4 linked regions of the Tamandua tetradactyla genome follow. The protein of the gene in region 1 purifies or fractionates together with the protein of each later gene. This does not show direct contact. Links are inferred from orthologs where the notes say so. Each region holds a gene or a part of one and is shown in the gene's direction. Other genes may lie near its edges.

Region 1 (6,980 bases):
AAATAAAAAGAAAACAAAAAATTCATACATATCATACCCATTACCCCTCCCTTTCATTGATCACTAGCATTTCAATCTACTAAATTTAATGTTTGTTCTCCCATTTATTTATTTTTAATCCATATGTTTTACTTGTCTGTCGATAAGGTAGATAAAAGGAGCATCAGACACAAGGTTTTCACAATCACACAGTCATATTGCGAAAGCTATATCATTATACAATCATCTTCAAGAAACATGGCTACTGGAACACAGCTCTACATTTTCAGGCAGTTCCCTCCAGCCTCTCCATTACCTCTTGACTAACAAGGTGATATTTCTTTAATGCATAAGAATAACCTCCAGGACAACCTCTCGACTCTGTTTGGAATCTCTCTGCCATTGACACTTTATTTTGTCTCATTTCTCTCTTCCCCCTTTTGGTCGTGAAGGTTTTCTCAGTCCCTTGGTGCTGAGTCCTGGCTCATTTGCCAGGAAGGTTCACAGCCCTGGGAGTCATGTCCCACGTAGACGGGGAGGGCAGTGAGTTTGCTTGTTGTGTTGGCTGAGAGAGAGAGGTCACATCTGAGCAACAAAAGAGGTTCTCTAGGGGGTGACTCTTTTTTTTTAATTTATTTTTTATTTATGATACATAACCATATACAAACATTCTTATCGTATGATCATTCCGTTCTTGTTATAGAATCATTAACTTACACTATCATCACATAGTTGTATATTCATCATCACGATCATTTCTGAGAACATCTGCATCAATTCAGAAAAAGCAGTAAAAAGAAAACAAAAAAATTCATACATAGCATACCCCTTACCCCTCCCCTTCACGGATCACCAGCATTTCAATCTACTAAATTTATTTTAACATTTATTCCCCCTATTATTTATTTATTTTTAATCCATATGTTTTACTTGTCTGTCGATAAGATAGACAAAAGGAGCATTAGACACAAGGCTCTCCCAACCACACAGTCACACTGCGACAGCCATATCATCATACAATTAGAGAGAGAGAGAGAGAGAGAGAGAGAGAGAGAGAGAGAGAGAGAGACCACATCTGAGCAACAGAAGAGGTTCTCTTGGGGGTGATTCTTAGGCCTAATTTTACATAGGCTTAGCCTATCCTTTGTGGGGTTAAGTTTCATATGAACAAACCCAACAAACCCCAAGATTGAGGGCTTGGCCTATTGTTTTGGTTGTCCACACTGCTTGTGAGAATATCAAGAATTCTCCACTCGGGGAAGTTGAATTTTCCTGCTTTTTCACCATTCACCCAAGGGGACTTTGCAAATTCTTTTTTATTCACTGTTCAGATCACCATGGGATTTATTGGGACATCACTCTGGTTAGACCTACTCAAGGTTCCATGTACTGTGGTGCTCAATTAAGCTGTCCACATAAGTTATATTAGGAAATGCACTAGTCAAAATATAAATTTTGTACCAAATAAACATTTTTTGCTTTAGTCTCACACATAAGTTAAAGTTTTAAAATATTAATTACCATCTATTTTCAACACCCTGCAGTATTGACATTCCTTTGTTCTTCCTCATGCAAAAACATTTTTTAATTTGTACATTTAGTTACTATCATTGTACAATCTAGGCTTTCCTGGATTATATCATCTCAGTCTTTATCATCTATCTTTCCTTCTGATTTCATTTGTACCCCCAGGCCTCCTCCCTCTATCATTCTCACATTCAGCTTCACTCAGTGTTCTAACATTATTGTATTACAGTTAAGTAGTATTGTGCTATCCATTTCTGAATTTTTACAATCAATCTTGTTGCACAATCTGTATCCCTTCAGCTCCAATTACCCAATATCTACCCTATTTCTATCTCCTGATGACCTCTGCTCTTAACTGAAATTCTCCAAGTTCAGTCACTAATGTTAGTTCTTATCAGTGAGACCACACAGTATACGTCCCTTTGTTTCTGGCTAATCTCACTCAGCAAAATGTCCTAAGGTCCATCCATGTTGTTACATACTTCATAACTTTATTCTGTCTTACAGTTGCATAATATTCCATCATATGTATACCACAGCTTGTTTAGCCGCTCGTCTGTTGATGGACATTTGGGCTGTTTCCATCTCTTGGCAATTGTAAATAATCCTTCTATAAACATTGGTGTGCAAGTGTCCGTTTGTGTCCTTGCCCTCATGTCCTCTGAGTTGATACCTAGCAATGGTATTGCGGGGTCATATGGCAATTCTATACTTAGCTTCCTGAGGAACCACCAAACTGCCTTCCATAGGGGTCATACCATTTGACATTCCCACCAACAGTGGATAAGTGTGCCTGTTTCTCCACATCCTCCCCAGCACTTGTTGTTTTCTGTTTTATTGATAATGGCCATTCTGGTGGGTGTGAGATAATATTTCATTGTGGTTAAAAATTAAAAAAAAAATTTAAAAAAAGCAATAAATTTCAAAGCACACCACAAGAATTAGTTATAGATTTCAAAGTCTGGTTTGGGTTACAGTTCAGAATTTTAGGTTTTTCATTCTAGCTGCTCCATGACACTGGAGACTAAAAGAAGTATCAATGCAATGATTTCAGCACACTTATTTGTTAAACCCTATCTTCCCTGTTATAGCGCCTTCTTCTCCTTTGATCTTTCTCTCAATCGTTAGGAGTATTTCCACTATGCCCATTCTAATTTTTTCATGTTGGAAAGGGTTGTCGATAATATGAGATTGGGGGATGGAACAAGTTATGTTACAGAGAAACTGGCCCCTCTGGGTTTCAGGACTTTTCTGGCCTTGGAAATCGTCTGGAGGTTGTAGGGTTTCTGGAAAGTAATCACAGTGCATGGAACCTTTGTAGAATCTCAGATAAAGCCCTAAGTTTAGGGTTGGCAGGAATGGTTTTGGTTGGGGTTTAGCAAACCGGAAGACAGGTCTGCTTCACCACCTCACTCACCAATAAGGTAATCAATCCATCGTGTAATTATTAACCCCTCTCCCTCTTTAAGAGGTAGGCAGGATACAATGGAGGTAAACAGACAGGTTCTGAAAGTGTCCACATCCTGGCTCTGCCACGTTACTAGATGTTACTTTGGACAGATTGCTTTACTTCTAAAAGCCTGTCTGCTTGTGTATAAAATGGGAATAGTGAGGTTACCCTTGTTATCTGTGATAACAGGTAAAGAGCTTCTTTAGTTCAGGGCCTGGCCAAATGATTGTAGTCATTTTTGTTAAGCAGTAGGACATCACGTTTAACTTCTGTATTATTTCAGACGGGTGTCAAATGTTTCATTCAGAAAAAAATCCGGCTGAACAATGGGGCTGGTCTGTGTGTGTCTGTGGCGATGGTGGGACGACTAAGAACATTCTGGTCGAGTTAATAATTATGGAGTTTTCTGTATCTCTCAAGCTCAGGGTAGAATCTAGACTCCTATCTTCCATTCAGAAGATTCAAGACATCCTTCTGATTTTCAACCCCGTCCATCAACCTCAAGGCCCTTGAAAAATCAGCTACTGCGACAGCACAATTCTGGGCCAGTGTCTCCCATTCCTGCCCTCCGATTCCACCGCTGGGGAGTGGATAGGGCTAGGACTCCTGAGCACTATATTTCATTCCAGTTCCTTAGACCGCCTCTCCTATCCCTAGCAGGGGGCTTAAGCTCGTAACGCGAGCTCAGCCGCCACCAGGTCACCTTGATGACCGGGCCAAGGACCCCGTGGGAACTCACAGTCCCCAACGCTCTCACCCATCAAGCACCCACGATGTAGTGCCCAGAGAGAAGACCTGTGTGACAAGAACCTAAAAAGAGAGACAAGGGACGTAGAGAAGAGTAGGACAAGAGAGAAAAGTTAATAATGGGAGGGGATATTGGTTTCCGTCATGCACGTTACTACCCGCAGTAACCGAGAAATTAGAAGTGGCGTCTTAAAACAATTTTAGACAGGCTTTTTCCAAAGGCAACCTCCATGCGTGCGGAACTATAGAATCGCGGAAGGGCCTTCATTCGCTCCCGTGCGCCTGCGCGCTGACAGCCGAGAAGGCGGGAGGACGAGGAGAAGGAGGCCGCCGACCGGAAGTGAAGGCAGATTCTCTTCTTCGTAGCTGTTGCCGCCGCCATACGCGCCCGCCCTGGTCAGGTAAGCTTCGGTCTTCGGTATTATCCACCTCCATCCGTACTTTTTTCGCAGCCATTTGGTCTCTTGGGCTCCGGATAACTATTCCACAGGTGACAGTCTTGTCGCCGGGGCTTACTTGGATCGTTATTTCCGTTTTCTGCGTCTCTTTTGAGAGCAAAGATCTTTTGGGGGGAGGCCGGAGAAGCTGGGGGTGGTGGTGTGCAATCCAAGATGGTGGCCCCGGCGCCATTGTGTTTCTTTTACTTTCGGGTCCTCCTTGGGTGTCTGGCTTATCAGAGGCCCCAGCTCTGATATGAAAGAGGCGGTGCTAAGCCTTTCCTGGTTTGGGCCATTTACAGAGGGCGGGGCGCTTTTCAACTTCCCCCTTTCCCCTTCTCCTCGGGGCCCTCTTTAGGCCCGCGGAGGCAACAGGGATAGGAGCCAACTTCCGGCCTCTGGTGGATTTTTCTCACCTCGACTTGCCTGCCCTTACTTGAAATACTTTCCAAATGTTTACGAATGATGTCATTGTGTAAGTGTTTCTCCGGAAGGAATCTCCCTTGCGGAGTAGTACAACGATGATGTGTGGCCATTTGGTGAAGGTTCTATTAAATTTGGAGTGAGGGTACTTCTTTCCCGTTTAATAATTAGCATCTCATTCAGCGTATGATAGAGAGATGACTTTTTTTTCCCCTGACTGAGTCATTTCTTAACCCCCGCCATTAATTACACATTGATTTTTTTTTTAAGTGGCAAAAGGAGGGTATTCAGGAATGAGGGGCTGGAGAAATCTCGGGGGAGGATGACAGCCACATGATGTTTTTCATTTTGAGCGCTCTGCGCCTTGATGACCTTTATCTATCACCCTTGACTGATGGCTGCTGTCTAGGAGGTTCACACCTTGAGATAATAGGGAAAGCACAAGGTCTTGCCTTGAGGACTTTTTAGGAATTTTCATCTTCATTCTCTATACTCCACCCCTCCCCCATTCGCTGTATTTTTTTTTTTTAATTATTATTATTCGTTTTCCCTTACTATGTTACTTACCATCTAGAGTTTATAACTGGTCTTCCTCCTCCAACTTCCTGATTTCTGCAATTCTGATCCTAGTCATGCTGGCAATCTGTGTCCTAAACGTATGTCCTGGAACCATTTTTTCCATTCCTTGTATTATAATTGCTTTTCACTTTTATGTTTTTTGTGTGTTTTCTTTCTTTCCACATAAAGGCTTCATGATTTAGGGAAAGAGAAGGATGTGGGAATGAAGACTTGAGGCTGTGAGGGCTCTACTCATGACTGATATCTTCCATCTTTATTTTTTTTTTTCCCTAGCTCTTCAGTCAGAAATTAGTGTCTTCCTTTTCCTCTACTGTTCCCCAGTCCTCTACTCTTTCTTCCTTGATTTCATCTATTCTGCCTGAACCCATCTAGAGACCCCTCCTCCCCTTCTACCCCTGCCGGCCCAGTCATGGCAGAAAACGATGTGGACAATGAGCTCTTGGACTATGAAGATGATGAAGTGGAGACAGCAGCTGGGGGAGATGGGGCTGAGGCTCCTGCCAAGAAGGATGTCAAGGGCTCCTATGTCTCCATCCATAGCTCTGGCTTTCGTGATTTCCTGCTCAAACCAGAGTTGCTCCGGGCCATTGTTGACTGTGGTTTTGAGCATCCATCAGAAGGTAATTATTCACTTGGGCATAGAGTCCTCATTCGTTGTGCTCTTTAGAGCCACAAGAAACATGTGTTTATGGTTTCCCAGGTGATAAGGTTTATATATGGGATAGGCCAAAAAGTAAGGAAGTACTAAAAATGATTTTAGCAATAGAAGAGATTTGCATAGATTAGTCTCATTCATGGTAACACGAAAGTGCTAATGATCCAAAAGTAGCATAGAGATCTGTCACTTTTAAATTTGTTATTTTGATGAATAAAGGTTGGTTGGACTTTTAATCCTCCTATCTTGGGGCCAGTTCAGAGCTCTGGAAAACTTTATGTCTGGTCTAAAGATGACTGGTTTCAAACACCAACCAAATCCATTCCTGTCAACCCTAAAGAACACTTCGGGCATTATCTGAGATTCTCAAAGTTTCCATGCACTATGATTACTTTCCAGAAACCCTACAACCTCCAGATGGGTTCCTACGCCTATTAAGTCCTGAAACCCAGAGGGGCTGGTCTCTTTAGAGTGTCAGCTAGTCCGTTCCCCCTGTCCCATATTATTGACAGCTCTTTCCAACATGAAAAAATTAGAATGGGTATAGCTCAGATACCCCTGAAGACTGGGAGAAGGATCAAAGGAGAAGGTAGAGTTATAACAGAGAAGATAGGTTTTAACAAATAAGTATGATTGCTGAGTCGTTAATTGATATTTCTTTTAGTCTCCAGTGTTTTGGAGCATCTAGACATAAAAATCTAAAATTGTGGAATTGTAACCCATACTAAACCCTAATATCTGTTCTACAACTAATTTTTTGCAGTGTGCTTTAAGATTTATTGCCCTTTTATTTATATGTTATTTTTCATAGTAATTAAAAAAAAAAAGATGGCTGGCTTCTGGGTCAGGTACCAAATCCGTTTTTTCTGAGGTTGCAAGGTTATGTGACTCAAAGCATGGCAACCTAAGTGGGAGAAAAGGCACTCAAATGTCATGTATTGTTACAGGTTAAAGGAAATAAGGACAGAGCCAGTAGCACCAAAGGTGAGCTGTTTCTAGGTGCAAGAGGGTTATTAGTGGCACTAGGTAGTCTTGGAGCTGGAGGAGCCAGGGAGGTGGTTTGGGGATGAATGTGATTGAAAGGGCCTGAAAGTTGACAGGAACCAAGAAAGGTCCTTGGAAACTTTTTTTATTTTGTAATATAACATAAATACAAAGCAACGAAGGAAAAAAGTAATAATTT
Region 2 (7,466 bases), on another chromosome or scaffold:
AACAGAATTTATAAGCCTTCCTTAGTAATGATGAGCATGCTCTCATCTCCACATCTGATCTAGTGGCTCAGTTAGATAGTAACTAAAATATAGAGATTGTAAGAATTGTCTGCATCAGGTTAGCTCTTATTTTCACTATGTGGAAATCTTCATATTTGAATGATCAGTGGAACTAACCTAAAACACTTTTCATGACTCTTGGTGCTATCATGGTAACTGAGAAAAGGAAAAACCAGAGTTTAAATCAATAAATACAGCCTCATATGAATATTACATATTTTTCATCACTGGTGTGTTGTGGAATGAAGTTAATTGTATGGTTATATGCTGTACTACATTAAACTCAGTTATTCAGTATATGAGCAAACAGGAAGAGTAAACAACCAGGTTTTCTGTTTATTTTAGATAAACCACTTTTATCAGTTATGACAGGTTGAAATAAGGTGTTAAAAATAATTTCTAATGTGTTCTAGGATTGGCAGATATTCAGATTGGGCTTCTACATTTTCAGGATGACTATATAAAAACTGTTCACAGTGATGAACCTGAGGCCTTCAAGATTCAGAATTACTTTCACATATACAACTTACTTACAAAAGGCCTTTTCAAAAATTTTTACACTGAGCATTTTAAAAAATGTTGAAGGAGTAAATTAGCTATTCTTGGAACTTTATTATTGTTAGCCAAAAATTTGTCTACCAATCTCAATTCTTAACCATTCTGTTCTGAAGAACTGAGGTTACTAACATAATAAGGCTGAAAATGTGCCTTGCTACTGGCAGAACTATCTTTAAATGGTATGGTAAAATTTCACAATTGCTGAAGGTACATATTTGTGGGTCATGCCTTGCTTTCAACTGGGGACAGTAATAATTCTTGGAGGTGAAAAGAGGCCATTCTACATATTTAGAGAAAGAGAAAAAAACCCGCCAAACTCCGTAACAATCATTCCCACAGCCTCACCCTCAGTTGCCACTATCAGTTGGGTGAAATTGCCTTTTCATTCTATAGATCCTTTCAAGTTTCTTGTAATTTTGTTTTTGGATGTGACTTGGCAACTCACTTATTAGGGCCATAATTCTATGTAGATATCTGTATTGATGTAGATAACTTTCCAAGATGACTTTTTAAGGTAATGTTATGAGCTACTTCAACCCTCTGCTGGGATCTGATTTAACCTATACAAAAATAGAGGAGGGGTCTAAACAATGAGCCTAGATTCCAGGCTAGCTCCCCACAGGGCTATTCTTGACTTTTGACTGGGAACATATCTAATCCCTATACAGAGAAAAGACTCCCTATAGATCCTATTGCTGTCCATGATACATTGTAAAACTTGATGTAAATTAGGTTTAAGTCAAGCCTGAGTAGTGAATGAGGTCAAGAGTATATGCTGAGGTTCTTTTCGTATTAAAATAAAAAGGCCATTACAACTTTTTTCTTGCTTGTAAATGCTTAATTTATTCTTTTTTTGTGGGGTGAGGTGGGGTAGTTTTGCCTTTGTTCAATGACTTGTCCAGGGTTAAAATCTGTGGGTACTGTATGTTGATGATACCTGAGCCGAAGGGATATTCATTTTCTCACTGGCCTTTGATAACATTTATTTTACTTGAAAAGATAGAGACTGCGCTTAATCCTGGTGGGATTCCTATCAGTGGCCCTAGCGGGCTGAGATGTTTAAAGCTGTTGTTTAAATGTCAAAACCACTTATCTTACTTGGATGTTGCTTGCTATAAAGTACATCTCTTTGGTTTCACTAGAATTTGAATTCTCATAAATAGTAGGTTAATTTTAAAATTTGGCTTTAATCTTTAATGTTTGAGAAATGCTTTTGTGACTTTCACAATGCAGCTAGCGCAAGCTGTTTTTAAAATGTCAATGTAAAAGGCACGGGTCTTAGTGCAGAGCTGCTTAAAGATGAATAGCTTCAGAGGACTCCTACAAAACACACACACACACACACACACACACACACACACACACACACACACACACACAAATACAGAGACAGAGAGACAGAGATAGAGAGGCCAACCAATATAGTTTTGCTAATGTAATGGCACTTGCTCACAGCACGTACCTACTATTATGAACATTCTGATAAAAATAACTTCTGATAGAAAGAACTTGACCATCTATTTTATTAACATGGCTACCTCACTAAAACATTTTATGGAACCAGAAGTCTGGGGTGTTAATTCATTCACAGCAATAGTCCTTTAAAAGACCATGTCATGTTGGAAAAAAAAATCAGGGTAGCTGGGTTTGTGTTCATTGATTTGTTAGGTTATCTATTCTCATTTCTAGCTTAATGTAGTGCCTGAAAACAATGCCTTGCAGGGGTGCTAAGGTAATTTATCAGCCTTTCTGGGTTCTAATCCAACGATTCACCTAACTGCTGCCTCCACACCATTAGCAAGATCATACTATCAAATGAAGCATCTCCTATTACTCCCCACCCCCCACCCCCCACTCCAATTAGATCTTTAAAAGGAATAGTTGTTTTTGTTTAATGTTTACCATCTGGACCTTTTTCCTCTTGAAAAACTTTGAATTTATTGTTTTGAAAGATATGAGCTGAAATATTACAAAGTGAGATGTTAGATTACAATTTTATTTTTTTCTTTTAAGTGATTTCTGAAAACAATGCATTCATTAGATTTCTATGTACGATGATAACACAGCAGTCACTTTAACAGAACCTCAGTGTACTTTTTGGTTAGATATTCCATGCCAAATATCTATGATACAATCAATGATTTGGGGATTCTAAATGTACTTAAAATAAAAAATGATAGCCAATATATGATACATAGCTCCGTGTATAACAAAATTATGAGACTGCAAGTATAACTTGATAAAACTGCTGAGTGCAATTTGAGTGCAATAAAACTCCCTTTTAAATTTGGAATTAAAAAATTTTAATTTAAAACTTGTCTATTTCCAAAAATGATTTAAAAGCAGATTAATATTAGACTAGTATTAGGTCCTTTCAAATGTTGCAGAATAGAGCATAATTCAACGATTTAAACAAAACAAAATGAAATTTGCCAAGCATAAATATTGTTACAACATGATGGCAAGGCTTTTCTTTGCAGAACAGTCTCTGCTCACTCACCTGCCAAAGATATTCATCTCATCTGCAGTATGGGAGCTATTTAGTATATTGGGCAAAACGCTAGACGCTACTAAAACGATTAACGAAACGTTTTTCACTCTATATATTGCTTAATATTCAAACCAAAATTTTTTATCCGATAAGGTTTTGTGTTCTTTAACTGAAAATAGTAGTAAAGATAATTGTGTAAATGAGCTTTTCCTCAAGATTTTTTCTGGGAAAACAAAACAAAATACATCTCTTACAAACTTGAAATGCACTGGACGAAATAATTTTACCCTTTACTGTATTGGTGAAATTGCGAAATATCGTTACAATTTATGCTTCAGCAATAAAATAGTGGGAAGGATATTATTAATGGATAACGAACGCCACAGATGCTTTAATGCTTATGAGAAGAAACGATGCTAAGGCTCTGAAGCGCTTAATTCCCAAACACTGCTAACCTACAAGCATTGTTGAGGTGGCCCTACCGAAATACACGGCTTATAGTTAATCCCTTTCTTCCAAGAGTGTACATTAACTACATCGAGGAAGACTCTTCATCCTTAGCCTAATTATCTAAATCCTTAAGTCTAAAAAATTATTTGATATGGCTAAAAAAAAATGCCTTCGCTACAATTTTTTGTCCAGTCCTCCAGGTTATTTATGAAACTCACACTCTTTAACGACAAACTGACTGCCAAACTAGGATATATGTCCGCCAAAACGTCCGCAGAAACGGTAAGAAAAACTATTACAAGGCCAGCTTGAGAAAACTTCTAAATGGCCTTCACTGTCTTTTGAGCCAATTAACACCCAAGGAGAATACTGGTTCCAGTTAGAATGCGCGCGTCAGTTTCTCCAAACCTCAAAGCAGCGTGTGTATAAGGGTAGGGATTTAAAAACCCATTTCATTTTCCCTACCCCCGCTCCCGGGGAAATAAGACACCACCTACTATATGAAACTAGGCGGGGGAGGAGTGCCGCAGCAAGCTGCCAAGAGCGCCCTGCAAGGACGTTTTCCTGAGTCACGGGGAAGGCGGGAGGTTGGGCCCATGTACCCACGTTACGTCCTCTTCCTAATGGACCCAGCTTAAATAGAAGAGTGCCAAACGAAAGGAAGCAGCACCCGTACTTCTTCAAGGTGGACCAACCGCCACCTCGTTCTCCAAAGAGCCGCATTCCCCCAGAACCCACTTTCCGTACTGACCGCTATCTGCAGACCGTTCCCTAACAATATCACGTGCACCCGGAAGTACGTGGGTGGAACCCAAACCGCCCACGGAAGTGACGTCGATCATCCCGAGTCGCATGATGTGGCAAAATGCAAAAAAAGGGGGGGAGGAATTGGAGTGGGCTGGAGAAAGTGATGAGTCTAAAAAAGTAGTCCCCTCGGTTCCTCTATTTATCCTAGTGTCTCGACAGTAAATGAGAAGCGCGGCGCACTGCGCCTGGAATTCCTGCGCCGTGCTGTGCCGTCGCACTCCGTGGAGGGGTACATAAGGAGGAGGGGGTGAGTCGACTGGGAGGAGTTCTGTCGCCAGGATCCCTCCGCAAGGCTCAGCCGTTTCCGGAGTTTGCGCTGCGCTCGGTTCCGCCATTGCGGCTCTCCCGGCCCCTGGAACCTCCGCCCCCGACCCGAGCTCTTTCGTCTGCCAGCCAGTTACCTGTGTCCCGGGAGAGTATCCTCCTGAACCCGGCATTCCCCTCCCCCTTCTCCTCCTCTCCCTAGGAGAGTCCGGGCGGTCGCTGCACTACAGCCCCAGTGACAGGAGGACACCATATCCCCCGACAGCGCCATGGCCCAGATTCTGCCGATTCGTTTTCAGGAGCATCTCCAGGTGCGTCTGGTTCCCGGCTGGTGAGGGCTGCGGAGGGGTTGGTAGAAAGGAAGGAAGAAGCTGTAGAGTGGGCGTAAAAGCAGAAAGAGTTGGGTCGGTGGTGAGGGGTGGGGGTGGGGGGTGGGGGATGTTGGAGCGTGGAGTAAATGGAGGAGGGGACGCTATCTTGGAAAGCTTAAAGGTTTTAAGAAATGATTTGGGGATTGGATGGAAAGGACAAGATTCGGGATGCAAAGGGCGATGAGGCCAGGCCTGGTTCCCAGGGCCTGTCTGTCTTGCTTCCTCAATCGCAAGAACTGCGTGTCCCCACTCCCCTCCCCCCCGCCCTTTATTCAGTTCATTCATTTGGGTAGGTGGGGTGGGGGAATGAGGCAGATTATTCCGCGTTACTCTTTCGGCAATGATTCTCATCACTTCCTGGGACAGTGCAGTGCTGTCACCTTCCATTGCTCATCTCCCTTTCCTCTGTGGTGTCTGCACCTTGGAGTTGTGGGGCGGGTGGTTTAGGGAGGAGCAACCTTTTTTTTTCTTCCTCTCTTTGCGGTTCTTAACAGGGAAGAGGTACCTTCTGGCGGTGGGAGAGACGCGGCTTCCTTGCCTTCCGCGAGGCAGTGGGAACAGAAGGTCACAGAAGGTGTAGAATGTGAAAACGTATTTCTCAGGGCGGTGTCTATCTCAGGGTGCATAGGGTCAAGGTTCCTAGGGGAATTTAGCCTTTTTTCCCCCCTCTTTCTCATTTTCTCTAGGTGAGGTGTGGCACTTAAGCCTCTTTTTGGTTTTAGGAGGTTAGAAGGAGTTATCTGGAGGTTATTTTGAGGTCTGCTGGAGTTTAGCAGATATTGTGGTTTCTCATTAATTCCTCCTCCAGGATTGCATGGAATGGAACAGAGCCCTCGGGGTAGTGCATACCTGCTTCAAGATATCCAGGGTCTGTAACTGACTGCCCTTTGGTAGGTTACAGAATTCTTCTGACTATGCCTTATTCTGAAAGCCACATACTGTTGTCTTATCTGGCATCATGCCCATGGCAGTGGAGGCAGATGATCCTTTAGTGGATTAGATGAAATTCTTTTCAGAGCTTTTGACTTCCTGGTTCACCAATCCTGCTTCTACTTGTGTTCATTTTGGCTGAAATAATTCATTCATACTAACTTGCTGACTTCCCAAATACCCTATTAAAGAAACCAGGTCAGTCTTCTGAAGAAAGACTAGTTTCATAGTGATAGAATACACAGTGGTACAGAATATACACTAATTTTAGTAAACTGTTGGACACTTTTCCATTGGAAGGCAATTTTATTTATTTTCTCTCATTCTTATAGCATACATAAAGAATCCTTGTTAATAAAAGTTTTATTTTTCAGGCTATGAGTAACATAATTTCATATTTCTTTACAGGTGTTCTCATTTACTTGCATCAGCAAACAGTTTTTTTCCATTAAGACTTGAAATGTAATGAACAATAAAATTTTACACATCAAATGAATTAGTGCACTTTCTTCAGTCATCAATAGTTTGCAAATAACTCATCTGAGGTAATAGAATATACATTGGCAATAACATACTATTTTACAAAAGATTACAAAAATATTAAGTGATAGATGGACATGGAGAAGTTACTTTTCATTCTCAATCCAAGTTTAATTACTGTGGTTACCTCTAAAAGTGGGGTGGTAAATAAATGTGGAGGGTTAGAAAAATACTGTTTTGGAGTGTGAGGTGAAAACACAGCTCATCCTTATACTGAAGTACGACTGAAACATGACTTTGCACACAAATGTTTGGTAGACCATATATGAGAAACAAGTACAGTTGCTGTTTATTTTACATGGTAGGGGTACAGCCCACTAGCACATCTTCTTCATTGACTGGTGGTAGTTTGTGTAATAGTTTTTCATTTTTATTAAGGAGAGAATTGTTAAGTGACCTTAGAGATTAGAATCCCAACTGTGCTGCTGTTTGAAGACATTAGATACACTCCTGATTTCTAAGTGGTTCCATGTTTCTGCAGATACTTGAGTGAAGCCATTTTCTACTCAAAGATTTTGAGAATAAAGTAGCTTTGCAAATATACTTCAAATTCAGCTATCCATTTTTTGAGAGATACATAGTGCCTAAGTTTAGTGTGATTGTGGCTCCAGCTGACATTAACTGCAAAGATTCAAATCACTGAAGTTTTCCAGGATAATATATTTCCTGACTTCCCATTTTTATCTCCTCCTTTATTTTAATTAACAATTTTGGTCCTTGACCTCTGAGCGTCTTTCTATTGCTAAGTAGCAAAAAAACTTTCTTAAAGATAAAAACTGGGAACAAGAAATGAGGAACTTGTGTGTAGAGTTTTAGCTTATTAAAGTTTCAAAAGACAAATGAACCTATTTTATAGCCTTTACCTATATTGACCAGGTGAAGAATCTGTAATCAAAGCTTGGACCTACATTGAATGAATGTTTATATTCTAAGTTATACAGGAAGTTTTGTTTTGTTTTTTTAAAAGGATGTTTAGGCTGATAGCAGTGAACAAA
Region 3 (7,976 bases), on another chromosome or scaffold:
ACAGAAAAAAATTCATGCATACCATACCCCTTACCTCTCCCTTTCATTGATCACTAGCATTTCAAACTAAATTTATGTTAACATTTGTTCCCCCTATTATTTATTTTTATTCCATATGTTTTACTCATCTGTTGATAAGGTAGATAAAAGGAGCATCAGACACAAGATTTTCACAATCACACAGTCACATTGTGAAAGCTATATCATTATACAATCATCTTCAAGAAACATGGCTACTGGAAAACAGCTCTACATTTTCAGGCACTTCCCTCCAGCCTCTCAGTTACACCTTAACTAAAAAGGTGATATCTATATAATTGTGTAAGAATAACCTCCAGGATAACGCCTCGGCTCTGTTTGGAATCTCTCAGCCACTGACACTTTATTTTGTCTCACTTAGACAGCCACCTTTCTTGATGGCTCAGCAAAAGCCCCAGGGCTGGTGCTCATTGGACTGCCGGTGGGTCACGTGTCCACTCCCCAGCCCCCATCCCCAGGCCATCACCGGGACCCAGCCCAGGCCATCACATGCTCCTGCTTAGAGCCCTATGGTGGAAAATCAGCCAGAAGACAGTGGGGTGTGGGAGCTGAGCAGGCCTGGGCTGGAGGTCCACCCTCCATTTCCCCGCCTCCATGTCCCAGAGCCGCTCCCCGCCCCGACTCCTCCCCCAGACCCCATCTAGCCTAAAGAACCGCTTCTGACCCAAAGTCCAGGCCAGGCCAGCCCCAGATATAGAAAATGGGCCAAGCTAGCAGGGGAAACAGGGAGATCGGGTGTAGTGTGCTGAAGTGACATGGGACAGACCCGGGATCCCATCCAGAAGGTGCCATTAGTTAGCTGTGTGACCCAGGGCTAGTTACTGCTCCTCTCTGAGCTTCCGTTTTCCTATCAGTCCAATAATAACAACCAACACACACACACACACACACACACACACACACACACACACACACCATCCACTCTGGGCAGCTACCGTTTTAAGCACTTGAGATCTTGTTTTACAACCCTTAAACTGAAGCTAGAGGTAGAGAGCACAATTATTATCCTCATTTTAGAGTCAATAAAGATGAGGCAAGAGATCAAGCAACCAGTTTAAGTTTCCACCGCTAGCAAGGTCTCTGGTGGTTGATGGCAGCTACATGCCTGCCAGGAATGGAGTTGTAGTAGCTAAGGTTCTCTAGAGAAACGGAATCAATAGGAAATATCTGTAAATATAAAATTTATAAAACTGTCTCATGTAACCGTGGGAAGGTAGAGTCCAAAATCCGCAGGGCAGGCTGTGAAACTGACAACTCCAATGGAGGGTCCGGACGAACTCCACAGGAGAGACTGGCCGGCCGATTGCCGGCCGAAGCAGGAACAGAGGAACTATCTCTTCTGAATCCTCCTTAAAAAGCCTTCCATTGATTAAACGTCACTCATTGCAGAAGACACTCCCCTTGGCTGATTACAAATGGAATCAGCTGCGGATGCAGCCGAGTGATCATGATTTAATTCTATGAAATGTCCTCATGGCAACAGACAGGCCAGCACTTGCCCAACCAGACAAACAGGTACCACCACCTGGCCAAGTTGACACATGAACCTGACCATGACAGGAGCTAATGTGGTTAAAGGGGCCAGCCCAGTACTGTGTACCCAATTCATGGGAAGTACCATGGGCATCATTACCCTGAGAAGAAGGAACACTTTGGGAGGAGCTGCTCGGAGGGAACTTGGAGAGGCAGGATGAGGGCAGAGAAGGTTCCACCAGGTAGCCAGTACTGGAGAAGTCCTGAGGCCGACAGGCAAGTAGGAGCTTGAAAGGAGAAGGGTGCAGTGGGACGAAGGAAGTGGGGTTGAGAGGAGGGAGCATTCTCATTTCCTCAGCCCCTATCCAGTGACGTCTTTATCCCCACAACATTAACAACGAGGAAGCTCAGAGAGGGGAAGTGCTTTATCCAAGGTCACTCAGCAAGTGACCAGCTTCTGGAACCAAATGCCAACTTTCAGAAGCCCTTCCTTTTTCCTGCCTTTTCTTTCTCCCCACTCCAGCTCTCTGGGCACCCAGCACCCACAGTCCAGCCTCTGAGTATGTGTGGGAGGGAATGACACATCAGGGACTTTGAAGGGTGATCCTTGCTGTGGCGGGACCGTGGACAGGAAAGCCTGATGGGAGGATCTCCAAACAGATACCCACCCCCATCTGCCGAGTCTGGGAGTCTGGGATCCGGGGACGGGCTGATGGGAGACAGTTCGGCAGAGGAGAGTGCTGGTGGGGACTTTAGGAAACCAAGGGCTATGAGGCATCTGAATTTGGCCATTTAGGGGTCAGTAGTGATCTTGACCAGAGCAGTGCGAGAGAAAACGGGGGAACGGGGAGACAGATGACAGCAGACAAATTGTGGAGCGGAGACAACATTGGAAGGGAGGAGGGTAAGAAGGCCAGGAGGGGATCCAGGGCCTGGGAGCCAGGAACCCGCTCCTTCCCCCCTGAATATTAACAGGGGAAACTGGGTGTGGGGTCTATGCGAACTCTGCATTATCGTCGCAATATAACTCTCCTAAAATTAAAAAAAAAGTTTATTTAAAAAACAGATGGCTCCTATTTGGAATGATGGAAATGTCCTGATAATGGTTGGTGGTGATGGTGGCACAACATGTGGACGCAATTAACAGCACTGACATATATAGCTGATTCTGACGATTAAAAGGGAAAACATTAGGTTGCATATATGGTAAAGGAATGAACTTAAAAAAAAAAATCCATGGAACTACACTACACAGTGGACCTTAAGTTAAACCATGGACTTTAATTAATAGAGCAATTATTAAAATGGGCTATCAGTTATAACAAATGTTGCACACTAATGCTGGGTGAGGTGGTCGTATGGCATATGGGAATGCTATATATTATGCATGATTGTTGTCAACCCACAACTTCTCTAAACGGGGGGAGGGAGTTATTACTACAAAGATATCTAATAGAATAAAACCATAAACTATACTGATTTAAAAAAATAGATGACAAGAAGTGAAAGTGGGTGTGGCTGTAGAGTTTGTAGGTGGCAGGTGGGGAGGGCAGCAATTTGAGGAAGGGAAAGCATGCAGGGTGTACAGGGCTTCCTTTTTTTGGAAGCAAAGTAGGATGATTCGGAGGCCGGGGATGGGGCCAGGAAGAGGGAAGTGGGAGGAGTTCTGAGCTAGGACAAGTCAAAGGAAGCAGGAAGGGAATGGAGATACCCTTTGCCTGTGTCTCCCAGGACCCTGCAGTGCAGTTTCTCCTCCTCTACCCCAAGAAATCCCCCTCTTCATACCTAATCATGTAATGATGGAGGAAAGCTGGAGCTCAGGTCCCCCTCCCCAAACCCCTGTGGCTGGTCGCTCCTCCCCCCCGCCCCCCCAGCCTCCACCCCGGCCATGTCACCCACTCCACTGTCTCCGCAACCGCCCCATTGCTCTTGGTTTCCTATAGGTGGGCCTCACTCCAAGCAGGGGCCGTGGAAGAACTTTTAGGACTGGGGGGTCCATGGACACAGGGGGCATCAAGCATTCCCCACCTCGGGGGGTGGGGGTGGGGGGGCTGTGACATGTTTTGAGCTTGAAAAGCATTCCTCCTACTCTGAAACGGTGGGAACCGCTGCTGGGGATAAATGTACAGGCTGTTCTCTCTCTCAGTGGGGCAGATTACCCAACTTGGAGGACCTACTAGAGCCACCTACCACCCCATCCCTCTGCCAGCTGAGACCTGCTCCGGAGCAGGTAAGGTCGGCTCCGGTTTTGTCACCCCTCCCCTGGGAGATGGGGTTCGGAGGCTTTGCGGGAGGTAGAAAAGGCTTCTGAGGGCTGGGGAGGGTTTCACCAGTCGGCCCCAGCGAGGAGCAGAGATGTACAGGAGACCCTGCAGGAGATTTCTCTGAAAGCCCAGCCCTTCTGTGCTCAGAGCTTTGGGAAACAAAGGTGCCAAGGGGCTGGCCCAGTAGCATCCTTAGAGGAGCCCTGCCCTGGGAGTCTGGGGTTAGCTGCTGTTTCCGGAACTCTACTTGGCATTCCTCTGGGAAGCCTGAGGCTTGGGAGAGAAGGCAAAGGATATCCTAGGCCAGGCTCCATCCAAGGCAGCAGAGGAGCTAGCTGGCCAGGGATGGGGAGCTTCTGATAGAGGTGGGGCATGGATGGGGTGAGAGATGGGGAATGATGGCCATTTCAGTACGGAGCTGAGGTTGGGGCTGACCCAGTCACAGAGGCAGGAGCCCTGTGACTGAGAACTGGGCCCAGGACAGGACTGAGGGAGTTGCAGCTGGGTTTGGCTGACCAGGAGAGGAAGGGAGGTGCTAAGCCAGGGGTTGGGAACAGAGGTGGGATGGGTTGTATTTGGGATTGGGATGCAGATGGCCTCAGAAAGTGATGGGAATGGACTAGGAGAGGACCTTTCCAGGATGAGGCAGGGCAGGAACTGCTATGGAAATTGGGCTGGATTCGGGATTTGGAATAGGAATGGGCTTTAACATGGGATGGAATGGACCAGGGGTGGGGGTGAGATTGGGACAGCAAGAACATCAGCAAGGGGCTGGAATCGTACTGGAACCGAGTGGCCTTGGGATTGGGATGGGGAGAGCCAGGAGAGGGATGGAGTGAGGCTAGAGGTGGGGGGTGGCGACTGGAATGTGGGTACGGCAGGGCCAGGGCTGGGGTTGGGAGAGAAGGTGAGGTCCCCGGGTCGGAGATGGGGTAGGGGAGGGTTTTGTTGAACGGGGGTGGGCCGGGACAGGAGACCGCAGGGGTAGGGTCCGAGCCCGGGGTGCGGCGCGCACGGCCCCGCGGCGAGGGGCGCGGGGGGGCACCCGGGGCACGCCGGGAAGGTGGGGGGTGAGGGGTGCGGACCTCCCCCTGGGCCGGGCTGGGGCGGCGCTAGGACCGAGCGAGAGGAGGGAGCGGAGCCGGGCGGAGCCAGCGCCCCCCGCCCCCCGCCGGCCGGCTCCCCTCCCCCGGCCGCTGGCTCGCTCGGCTCGCAACGCTGCAGAGGCTCCGAGGCGGCGGCGGCGACTCTCCCCTCTCGTCGCTCCCTCCCATCTCTGTCCGTCCGTCCGTCTGTGCGTCTGTGCGTGCGGCCTCGGTCCGGCCCGAAGCATGGCCGGCGTCAGCTTCAGCGGCCACCGCCTGGAGCTGCTGGCGGCCTACGAGGAGGTGATCCGGGAGGAGAGCGCGGCCGACTGGTGAGCCCCCCGCCCCCGCCCCCGGCCCCTTTGTCCCCGCGCCGCGGCCGCCGCGCCTTTGTTCCCCTCGCGGCCCGCCGCCCCAGCGCCGGGAAGGGAGGGGGAGACCCCGAAATGGTGCAGCGGGCCGGGGAGGGGCTGCCTTTGTGCGCGCCGGGGGGAGGGGCCGGGCCGGGCCGGGCGGGGCGCAGCTGGGCCCCGGGCTCCCCGGAGGCGGCCCTGGGCGAGCGGCGGGAGAGGTGGCCGCGCCCGCGGGCCGGAGGGACGCGGGGTCCCGAGGCGTGTGGCCCGGGGCGGGGGTTGGGGGGGACGGCGCCAGGGCCCCGCGGGCGCCCCTTCCGCTGCCTCCAGGGCCCCCACCCCGGACCCCGTGGGACAGGTGTGCGCGGGGCGGCCAAGGGCACCTTCGCCACCTTCGAGAGGGCGAGGGCCGGGCGGGGACGGGGCGGGGACCGAGCTAACGTGGCTCAGCCCGGCCCGGCCCCAGCACAAAGGAAACCCAGGGCGGGGGAGGAGCGGAGTGGGGCCGGGGGCCGGGGCGCCCCGCCCACTGGGGGGGGCCGGTCTGCGTTGGCTGCCCCCACCCCCCAACACCTGAGCGGAGGTGCGATGGCATGACGTTTGTTGCCACATGGCGAGAGTGAAGTGACTCCTCTTGCCTTCACGGGGCGTGGAGGAGACAGGGACGAGCCCCTCTCTCCCCAGCCTGATGGGAATTGCAGGAACCAGGCAGCTGGCTTGAGAGATAGGAAGGGGAGGGGGCCAGCTGGGGTCGCTTGGAGGAAACCCTCAGGCCCACAAATGCAGAGGGAGCCCTCAGTGAGAGAGGCGGGGGTGAGCTCCTCCACTGGGACCCCCTTAGCCCCTCCCTCCAGCACCAAAGGGGCACTCTGCCCCCTTGGTGTGGGGGTGGGGCTGGGCCGCCCTCTCCCCACCCTCCCAGCTGTTGTTGTCGCCCCTGAGCTGGGGGAGGGGCTGGACCACCTGCTCTGGGACTGGAGCCCCCGGGGCTGGCAGGGAGCTGAGAGGTTTCACTGTGCCCCATCGAGGAATCATTCCCCCAGAATGCTCTTCCTCCCCGGGCAGGTGCCCACCGTGTTCCCGAGGCTTTTTTCCCTTGCCAGCAGTCAGGAAACAGGCTCTACCCCCTGGGGAAACTGAGGCATAGAGTGAGGCAGGTTTGAGGGGCCTCCTTGGGTTGGACCTACCCTCACCCTGGGTAGGGACCCCTACCTGGGGGCTGGAGGTGGGGATAAAATGGCCAGGCGTCCATGCCACGGCATTGCAGCACTGGCGGGCAGCCAGGCCTGGAGGGATGGACGCGGGAGACAGACTCTCGTGTCCTGCAGGTCAGTCACAGGAGAGAGGGCAGCGCAGGCGAAGAGGGCGGGCAGCCCACCCGTTATCCCAGCCCTGTCCCCGGGGGCTGAGATCATGGGAGCAATTCAGGGCAAGTGGCCGGCTTGGCCCCGTGGAAGAGCAGGCCTTGGGATACCGGCCCTGCCTTTCAGCCCCCGTGCCTGGGGAGAGGCACATCTGATCTCAGAACACCCCACGCCCTCCAATCTGGGGCCTGTTTCTCCCTGAGTCCCCAAAAGCAGAGCTCTGGCAGCCCGGTGCCACAGCCACACAGCCACTGCTGCCCTGCATTCTGCTCAGGCTCCCACCACCCGGCAGTATCCATGTGGCCAAAGCGAGTTATTCATCAGTGGTGTGCGTCACCCCCCATCTGGGTTGTGTGTGGGACACACACACAGATGCACACACGTACCCTAGCACGTACACATGCTTGCTCACACCGTGGGGTCTGGGTAGCATTTTGCAAAAAGGATGTGAGGACTACATCCTGCAGAGGGGGGTATGGGGGTCCCCCAACACCCAGCCCAGAGTCAGAAGTTCAGTGGGACTGCAAGACTTGGGGGCAAGATCCTCCTCGCAGAGGCCAGAGAAGGGTTGTCTTGGGTGAAATTGCTGTCTGGACAAAGGAGGTTTGGCAGTGCCCACCCTTACCTTGCCTGTTGAGTGTGTGTGTGTGTGTCGGGTGGGGGGCAGGATCTCACTCTGAAATAGACCAGGGGTCCCAGGAGGTCAGGACATGTAGCAGGAAGCGCCAGCATTGTCCTGCCTCTGACATGACTCGCTGTGTGGCCACCCACTAGTTCCTGCCCTTCTCTGGTCCTCTGGAGGAGAGACTGGGCTCCACTTCATTCCTCCTTAGGAATCTAGAGTTCCTAAGGCCTTTACAGCCCTAACATCCTGAGAGTGCAATGGAGTGGGCAGTCCTGACAGGCCCAGCCCCACCTCAGCACTTCCCAGCCCCTGGTGATCCGAGGATCTCCCTGGAACTGCTACTGCCTCACTTGTCCAGTTTCTCTAGCCTAGGTAGTTTCTAAGAGTTTGGGTCAATATCACAAACACCTACTGGCGCTGCTGGGCCGGACCTCGGGACCCAGAGAGCAATATTAATTGGTTGAGTCAGAGTTCCTGTCTTCATAAAGCCTGCTCTGAGGCAGTGTCTCCAGTGGCTGGACCTGGTGAGATGGGTAGATTCCTGGGCTTTCTCAGATTCTGATCCCCTGTGCTTTTGCCAACTCCCACCCACCCCAGGGTGCCTCTGATGGGTTTAAGAAACACTGCTGGTCTAGTGGGATCTGGGGTGAGTTCAGATGTCTTCAGATCCTTGGTGGGATATGATAACTCTTGGAGGTGTGGGAGGGCCGGGTTTCTCCAGGAGCTGGCATTGAGTCCCCAGGGACTGAAGGATTTCAAACACAATGGGAGGT
Region 4 (7,788 bases), on another chromosome or scaffold:
AATGATCTTTTCCCAAGGTTGAATTTCTTTTCAATTTTTTTTAAAAGAGAGCTTTCTTTGTCTTATCAAATAAAAACAACTAAAAAAAAAGAAACAGTAACAAACGCTTAGAGTTAATTCTATTGCTAGCATGCACACCGATATGCTTTTGTTTCCATATTTTTCACAAGGGTGGCAAGATTTCACTTGTTTTAATTTGAATTATTACATGCTTTCTTTGAGGTAAAATCACACCTACTTATATTCTTTTACTCCTGTAATTTGATAATTTATATTTTTCACTTTCAAATCTTAATAATAGTCTTTCTGCTCCTGTATTCATCCTATTTCTACCAAACAGGCTGAGGAGAAAGTAAAAATGCCTTTGTGGTTGATGGATTTATTATCTATTCTTGACAACTGTTAGAACAACTTTAATCTGCTCTTCTCAAACTCAAAAGTTGTTGATTGATTGACTTTTGAAAAGAAGAATCAGGAAGGTAGAAGTATTTTAAAACCTCATGGTATGTCTTTAGGGGGTTGGATGTTTTAAATTTATGAAAACTAGGTTAAACTAGGCATTTTTAAAAGGGAAGAATGGTTTTTCTCTAGAAACATTTTTGGCATCCGGATAGCTTCTTTTAAGAAATATATATATTTCTATTGAGATATTTTCACGCGCCATATAGTTTATCCAAAGTATACCATCAACAGCTTACAATATCATCACGTAGTCGTGTATCTATTACCATGATCATTTTTAGATTATTTGTATTACTCCAGAAAAAGAAAGAAAAAAGAAAAAAGAAAAACTCCATACATCCCAGACCCTTTACCCCTCCCTCTCACTGACCACTAGTATAGCACTCTACCCAATTTTCTTTTACCCCCTAACCCCTGGCCCCCCATTATTTGTTTGTTTGGGGTTTTTTTCTTATTTTTTTTTATTCATCCTGATAGTTTCTTGGTTCATTTTCTTAGTATTTATTAGGTTACGTTCACTGGTTTCTAACATTTCCTTTTCTGAACTTGCTGAAAAACAGGGAAAAAGCTCCAAGTGTCTCTACTATGTCTGGTGTTCCAAGCATCTGTTTGCATATTCCCGGATCTTTATGCTCGCGTGCTAGGAAAGAAGGAAGATGAGAGCCAGACCGAGTTAACTGCTCACCCTAAAGACTGACATAATTATCACATAAATGTCCCTCAGCTTAGGTACAAGAAAACCTTTACTTTGCGCCTGGCTTTTCCTTCATGATTTATATTAAAGTTTTTGTGGTCCTATAGTATAAGTTTTTATGGTCCTTTCAAATTGTTAATGGCAGAACAGTTCCTACATATCTAAGTTCCTTATCTCTTTACTGAGAGCCAGGAGTTCCAAAACCTTCTTGCTAGCAACTCTCTCAATAGCAGCACTTTTTCCCTACTTTTCCCTAAAACTTGGCCACCTTCCAAAATCAGGAGGTCATAGAATTCCCCCCACTATTCAAACCATTTATTTACATTTTGTCTTTGTGAACCTGCCATCTGAATCTCTGCTATTTTTGAAAAGCTGGACTGGATAGCCGAGGTCAGAGGCCCCATTACTGCCAAACTATCATAAGCAATCACATTGGAACCTAAAATCAGATGGGCAAAATAGAGGAGTAGGTTGAAAATGTGTCACCATGCCAGGTCCATATACTGTCCATTGTGAAGGGTGGATTCTCCAGGATTTTCATCACACTAGGCTATTAAGGCAGAGATGGTGTACCCGGTAGTTTGTAGTAGACAGGGTGGAGTCAGCCTGCCTGGGTTCCTATCCCAGCTCTGCCACTGTTCCGAGGGTCATTGCTATATAACAACCACTCTGATGCCAATCTATTATTTCTATTAGTATTGTTGTATCTCTCATTGTTCTGAGGACTGACTCAGCTCAGTTAAGCTGCTTTCCCTCTGGGTCTCTCATGCAGTGTGACCAGTCAGCAGCTGGGCCTGGGGTCATCTTAAAGTCTCACTAACTCACAAGTTGATGCTGGCTGTTGGCTGGTCCTTACAGGTGCTGTCAGCCAGAGCACCTACCTACACGTGACCTTTCATGTTGCCTGAGCTTCCTTCCAGCATGGTAGCTGAGTCCCAACGGTGAGTGTCCTGAGAGAGAGAGAGGTGGAAACTGTATCTTATTTTATGAACCGGGCTCAGATGCCAGTAGTGGGGGTAGGAGGGGGTCACCGTGGCAGGCCTAACCCGAGGGACTGGAGGCAATGCAGGACTCCGATATGGACACCGAGTGGAGTGACACCTTACGCAAAACGGGCATCTTGTCCTCAAAGGAAAGTTTGAAAGAATCGGAAAGGGAGTCAGAGGAGGAAGTGAAGGGAGTCCTTCAGTATTCAGTTGTGAAAACTTACGAAGATATGACTTTGGAAGAGCTGGAGGATAATGAAGATTAATTTAGTGAGGAGGATGGACATACTATTGAGATGTACAGGCAGCAAAGACTGGCTGAGTGGAAAACCACTAAACTGAGGAATAAATACGGAGAAGTTTTGGAGATCTCGGGAAAGGATTATGTCCAAGAAGTTACCAAAGCTGGTGAAGGCTTATGGGTAAATCTTGCACCTTCACAAACAAGGGATTCCCCTCTGCGCCATCAGTGAACTTGCAAGGACGTTTCCTGATGTCAAATTTATCAAAGCCATTTCAACTACCTGCATACCCAATTATCCTGCTAGGACCCTGCCCACAATATTTGTTTGCCTTGAAGGTGACATTAAGGCTCAGTTTATTGGTGCTCTAGTGTTTGGCGGCATAAACCTGACAAGAGGCGAGTTGGAATGGAAACTGTCGGAGTCTGGTGTGTCAAGACAGACCTGGAGGAAAACCCTAAGAAACCAGTTGAAGACGCATTACTGTCCTCAGTGCAGTGCTCCGTCCCCACCAGGAGAGGCAGCGAGTCTGAGGATGACTAAGGCAGAGCTGTGGTAACTGGCTGGACTTTCCTGATGTGAGGAGCCATCCGGACTTTTAGAAAAAGGAAAATGGAGGAATTCATCCTTCAGTTTTTAGCCTTTTATAATTATGTTTAAAGTCTTACACAACTCAGAAATAATCATCGTTGGGAGTCTTATTACATTTTTTGCAACTTTCTTTATAAACTTATAGCATATCCCTAAAAAACAAATAAATAAAACACAGCTTTGGTGTGTTTAAAAAAAAAAAAAGTCACATAGCATCACTTTAGCTGCATTCAATTCTTTAGACCTGAGTCACTAAGACCAGCCCATATTCCACAGGAGGGTAATTAGACTCCACTTCTTGATGGGAAGAGTGTCAAGGAATTTGTGGACATGTCTTAAAACCAGCTGCTTATTAGCTGGAAGAGTTCCCTGTCCTTGGCTTTCCTCACCTGTAAAAAGGCATGAGAGTAACTTCTCTTACAGGATTTTGTGAGGATTAAACAAGTAAAAGAACAGTGCTTGGCATCTGGTAATTATTAGCTTAGACAACTCTCACGCCTTCTGCAGATCTGCAGTGCTGCTGCTGGGGCCATCAGTGGCAGTGCACTTCCAAGCAGATACGGTCTGGGGAAGAGCCACCTTTCTAAACTATACCGGTTACATGTGACAAACCCCAGTGCCTGTGGTCCTTATTTGTCCAGGATCAGAGTTACTATATATGGTCTGAATTCTTTGGTTCACCTCATTTTACTGACAGTTCCAGATATAGGTCAGTTCATTTAAACCTAGCTCCATTTATGGCAATTTATTTCATTATAGGATAAAGTAGTTAGACTCATGAGTAATAATTACTGTGTCTATAGTGCTTTTAACACCTTAGCCAGGTAATCCTCACCTCTCCCCAGTGAGTAAGTTTGGATGAGCAGCCCTCCCTCCCTCAGGGATGAGGAAACCAGGACCTGGGTCAATTAGGTGGCTTGTTCTAAACTTTGCAATAAAGCAAGAGCCTGGCTGGAGTGAAAAGTGGGGTCCTGATTCTCTGGTCCGTCCAACATGCCCCAATAACACGTAAATTAACATCCCACCGTCGATTGTTACACAAGCTAATATCAGACATACATGTGTATTTAAACTTTCTTTTAAGCTCTTTTATTTTTCTGCAATACAGAGAACTGACCAGCGTCTACTTAGCATAATATGAGATTAAATTAGTTCATAGATAATAAAAAATCTTGGGAGTAAAGGCACATTTTGCCGTTCACGATACTTTTTTTCTCTTTCAGTTAAATTAATATGTTCTGAAATTCTTGGGTATCCGAGGTTTTTTTGCTAGGGGGAGGAAAATTTGAGAACACGCTCTTTGCGGCATTCGCCCCCCAGGCTGGTTTCTAATTGTCAGAGCCCCGACCGCCCGCTGTCCCTCCACCCCAACTGTTAAATTTCTAATTGGATGGTCGTGAGTTCGGGAGCAAATCTGGCAGACGGACCCTGCGTTCCACCGGGGCTGGGACTGACGCCACTCCTTCCCTCTCTTTTCCATTCCGTGCCCGGGGCGAAACAGCCTCTTCTAGGCTGACCCCCCGGGCTGCGGGCCCTAGGACTGCCAGGCGCCTTGGCTGCCGCCTGCGCTCACCTGGGGGCGCTGTGAGGCCAGCCCCGGGCGGCCGGAGGTGAGTAAGCTCTGGAGGCGGCGGCCCCCGGGTCCTGCCGGCGCGGAGAGGGGCGAATCCCAGGCAGCTAGGTCGCCGCCTCCGCCCCTCGGCCCGGCCCCTCTGCCTGCCGGGGAGAGGGGAGTGGCCGGGCGCCTCCCGCCGCTGCCGAGCACTCGGGAGTCCAGCGCGCACAGGATCCCCAGCCGCGGCGCGAGGAGGCGGTGTCGCAGCGCCGGGCGCGCAAAAAACGGCCGACAGCCGCGGGACAGCTACCTCCGAGCAGCCGCAGGCGGGAGCATCGCGGGGGCCGCGACGGCAGCTCTGCAGCCTCGGGTTGGACCCACGTCCCAGAGCGCCAGGAGAGGGAGGACGACCAGGAGGCGGTGCGGCGCCCTGCGAGGTAGCGCGAGCGCTTTCCCTGTGTCCCCTGCCCTTCCCGCTAGGTCCGGTCACGGCCCACGAGGGGCAGTGGAGCGACGCCCCGCGCCTTTGTGCCTGGGGTCCCCGTGGGGCGCGGGTCAACTGGGTCTGCGGCTCATGGGGTGAGGTGGCGTTGCGGCCAGAACCCGCACACGCTGGAGATCGTGCAGGGTGGCGGTGACTCCTCAGATACTTTGGGGGGGGGTGGGAGAGAGGAAGGGCTTGTAAAGCAAGTTGCTCTTACTTTGCCCTGTCCGCCTAGTACCTGTGAGCAGAAGGGAAACCAGATTTTGCTCTTGTTCACCCACACCCGCGCCATCCCCTTCTCCCACAGTTATTTCCTGGCTCCCTGGTTTTGTGAAAGGATTTGGTGTGCTCTCCTCGGGGAAGGAAAGAGGTGGGAGAACAAAGGGTTGGTCTGGAGCGTGGGGTTCAGGTGCGGCGTGCCCCAGCGGCGGCCGGGAGAAAGGGCAGAAAACCTGATGGGGCTCCCCGCGCGTGCAGCTGCGCTGTCCTCCTTTGTTCAGCCGCTGCGGAGGGGGCTACCCCAGGTCGCGTTTCCTGCCTGGGATGGGATTGATTCACTGTCCTCGAGAGGGAGGGGAAGGGGCGGGGCTAGAATGGAAACCAGATTAGGGAAGGGAGCCCTGAGGGTGCAGGGGCCAGCTAGAGGGTTGGGGAGGGGGTGATTAGAATTCACTGAGGAGTTGGTTATGTACACGCAACATTTTTGAGCAAGGGCTTTCTGGAGCTTGCTTGTATTGCTTTGTTCAGGCTGCGGCCGAGCGTTTATTGCTGCAACAAGTTGTGTGCTTCCTTGAGTTCTAAGCGCTACCATGCTGAAATAAAATCTTGTTGGTTATAATGAAAGAAGTTGTTTTTTGCCATGAATCAGTGTATTTGTGTGTATGTGTGTTCCTCTGGATCCTGTGTGCAGCCAGTGGAGACTGACTCACATGGTAGAAGGCAGATGTTATAGGATCAATTTTGACTTAATTTTCTTTATTGTAATATGGTATAGCATAACAATTTTCCCGGAATGTTTGGGGGGAAACCACCAGAAAATTAGACATTGCTAAAAAAAAAATAATAAAATGAATTAGGTTGTGTAATGCTGAAGCTGAAAAACCCTTTTACAGTTTTTCCCAGAAAACACACTGCACTCACAAACCTTAGGGTTTTAAGAGTTGAAGAACCAGGGATTTTCAAGTGTTCCGTGCTTTCATTCTCCCTGTGTGGATTGTCTGGAATAAGAAAAAACCACTTACTAGTAGGGTGAATGGCATTTTTTTTTTTTTTTTTTTTAGGAGGAGGTAGAATTAAATATCATATGTCTGGCATTTGTTAAGGAACTCTTTCCTAGATTTGAATCAAGAAACCCAAGAGGACTGGCTGACTTTGGTAGCCTTGGGGGATTGAACGATGTGTGCTTTTTGAATGGCAAAACTTTTCGGGGAGAAGGCTGACATTTCCAGGCATTCATGGTTTGTGCCTATGGGACATTGGTGGAAGAATCCCAAAGTCATACTGAAGGTTAGAATTACCGTGGTGAAGATATAGGAGACATTCAGTTATAGTAGTCTTGTTGCAGAGAGGGTTGGGAAATGGTTTAGTGCTGCCTCTTTGGCAAACCTGAGTGTCCACTATTAAACCACCCTTTGGCCATTCACTTTAAAATGAACCAAGTTTGAAAGCATTTTAACTTTAGAAGGCAAATCAGGAGCTTACTCCTAGAAAAAAAATGTTTCCTGCCCATTAAGTGGTAATGGAAAAGAACTGTGCAGTGTACTGCTGAGGGTTTGGCTTTTTCGCAGGGGATGTGGTCAGATTTTCAGGCCAGGCTAAAAAGCAGTGTGGTACTTGTCCTTAGGGGCCATTATGATGTAAAGTCGGAGTGGAATGTTGTCCAACCAGCAGTCTGTTTATCATTATAAGTAATACACTGCCTGGCAAACATTGTGCCAGGGCAGCTAACAGAGGGTGACTTTTTTGTTATGGTTGTTTTACCATTTTGGACTTTTCATTTATGTTTTGTAAAAAAAAAAAAAAACATAATCGGATTCCTCCCAAGTACTCATTGTAATATACATTAACAAAATACAAAGTGTAAGTCCATTACTGCTACTGGAGACCCTCATCGGGGAGCCTCTTAAATCGCTGGTGTTCTGGCCTCTGGCTGCCCCCATACCCAACTGTGCAATAAAGCTGGCAACAGGCTGTGCCCCATTCACGGAATGAATCATCACTTTGTCAAGCTTGGAGTTAAAGATGGATTTCCTGGTTGCTGCACAGTTAGGCGTAACAATGAGGAGAATCTGACATCTGTGGGGAAGGAATCTATACCTTAGTAGGGAAATTTGGTTGGAGGTGGGGTATATTTGACTAAGAAGGGATCTTCGGAATATAGCATCCATGTTTTTGGTATTTGTCCTTCTTCTGGATGAGAGTCTTCTCTCTTTCTCCCTCCCTTCTGCTCTTTTCAATAGCTGAGCTTTTGGATTTTAGTTAAATAGCCTAGCAATACCTAACAGGCATCATTTAGTAAGTGCTTACTATGTGCAAAGGGTTTTACATACATTGTTATCTTAATTCTCACAACATCTTGATAAGGTGGGTATTGGCTCCATTTTACAGTTGCAACTGAGGCCTAGAGAAGTTAAGTAACTTGCTTCTTACACTGTACTTGTGTAGGTAACTTGTAAGTGGCGGAGGTGAGATTTGAACTCCAATCCATCTCATTCCAAAGTCCAAATTCTTTAACTAGCACACTGTATGATATGATAGCTTTTAATAGTAGGTAT

Evidence for each region.
Region 2: the proteins of DDX39B (region 1) and CLTC purify together in Homo sapiens (affinity purification with mass spectrometry, with the first as the bait; 3 studies listed by BioGRID). This does not show direct contact. The link is inferred for Tamandua tetradactyla from reciprocal best matches to the Homo sapiens genes DDX39B and CLTC.
Region 3: the proteins of DDX39B (region 1) and DBN1 purify together in Homo sapiens (affinity purification with mass spectrometry, with the first as the bait; 3 studies listed by BioGRID). This does not show direct contact. The link is inferred for Tamandua tetradactyla from reciprocal best matches to the Homo sapiens genes DDX39B and DBN1.
Region 4: the proteins of DDX39B (region 1) and MYO1B purify together in Homo sapiens (affinity purification with mass spectrometry, with the first as the bait; 3 studies listed by BioGRID). This does not show direct contact. The link is inferred for Tamandua tetradactyla from reciprocal best matches to the Homo sapiens genes DDX39B and MYO1B.

Annotation. Positions count from the first base shown.
Region 1 is NC_135331.1:87,132,436-87,139,415, reverse strand, and holds the start of DDX39B (spliceosome RNA helicase DDX39B), read left to right. Parts: upstream 1-3,973; 5' UTR 3,974-4,104; intron 4,105-4,208; exon of another isoform or gene 4,209-4,615; intron 4,616-4,891; exon of another isoform or gene 4,892-4,963; intron 4,964-5,415; 5' UTR 5,416-5,551; coding exon 5,552-5,762; intron 5,763-6,980. UniProt on the Homo sapiens protein: Involved in nuclear export of spliced and unspliced mRNA. Component of the TREX complex which is thought to couple mRNA transcription, processing and nuclear export, and specifically associates with spliced mRNA and not with unspliced pre-mRNA.
Region 2 is NC_135332.1:40,809,957-40,817,422, forward strand, and holds the start of CLTC (clathrin heavy chain 1), read left to right. Parts: upstream 1-4,455; 5' UTR 4,456-4,613; intron 4,614-4,623; exon of another isoform or gene 4,624-4,832; 5' UTR 4,833-4,899; coding exon 4,900-4,941; intron 4,942-7,466. UniProt on the Homo sapiens protein: Clathrin is the major protein of the polyhedral coat of coated pits and vesicles. Two different adapter protein complexes link the clathrin lattice either to the plasma membrane or to the trans-Golgi network.
Region 3 is NC_135346.1:59,234,128-59,242,103, reverse strand, and holds the start of DBN1 (drebrin), read left to right. Parts: upstream 1-4,965; 5' UTR 4,966-5,107; coding exon 5,108-5,193; intron 5,194-7,976. UniProt on the Homo sapiens protein: Actin cytoskeleton-organizing protein that plays a role in the formation of cell projections. Required for actin polymerization at immunological synapses (IS) and for the recruitment of the chemokine receptor CXCR4 to IS.
Region 4 is NC_135329.1:165,006,647-165,014,434, forward strand, and holds the start of MYO1B (unconventional myosin-Ib), read left to right. Parts: upstream 1-4,776; 5' UTR 4,777-4,967; intron 4,968-7,788. UniProt on the Homo sapiens protein: Motor protein that may participate in process critical to neuronal development and function such as cell migration, neurite outgrowth and vesicular transport.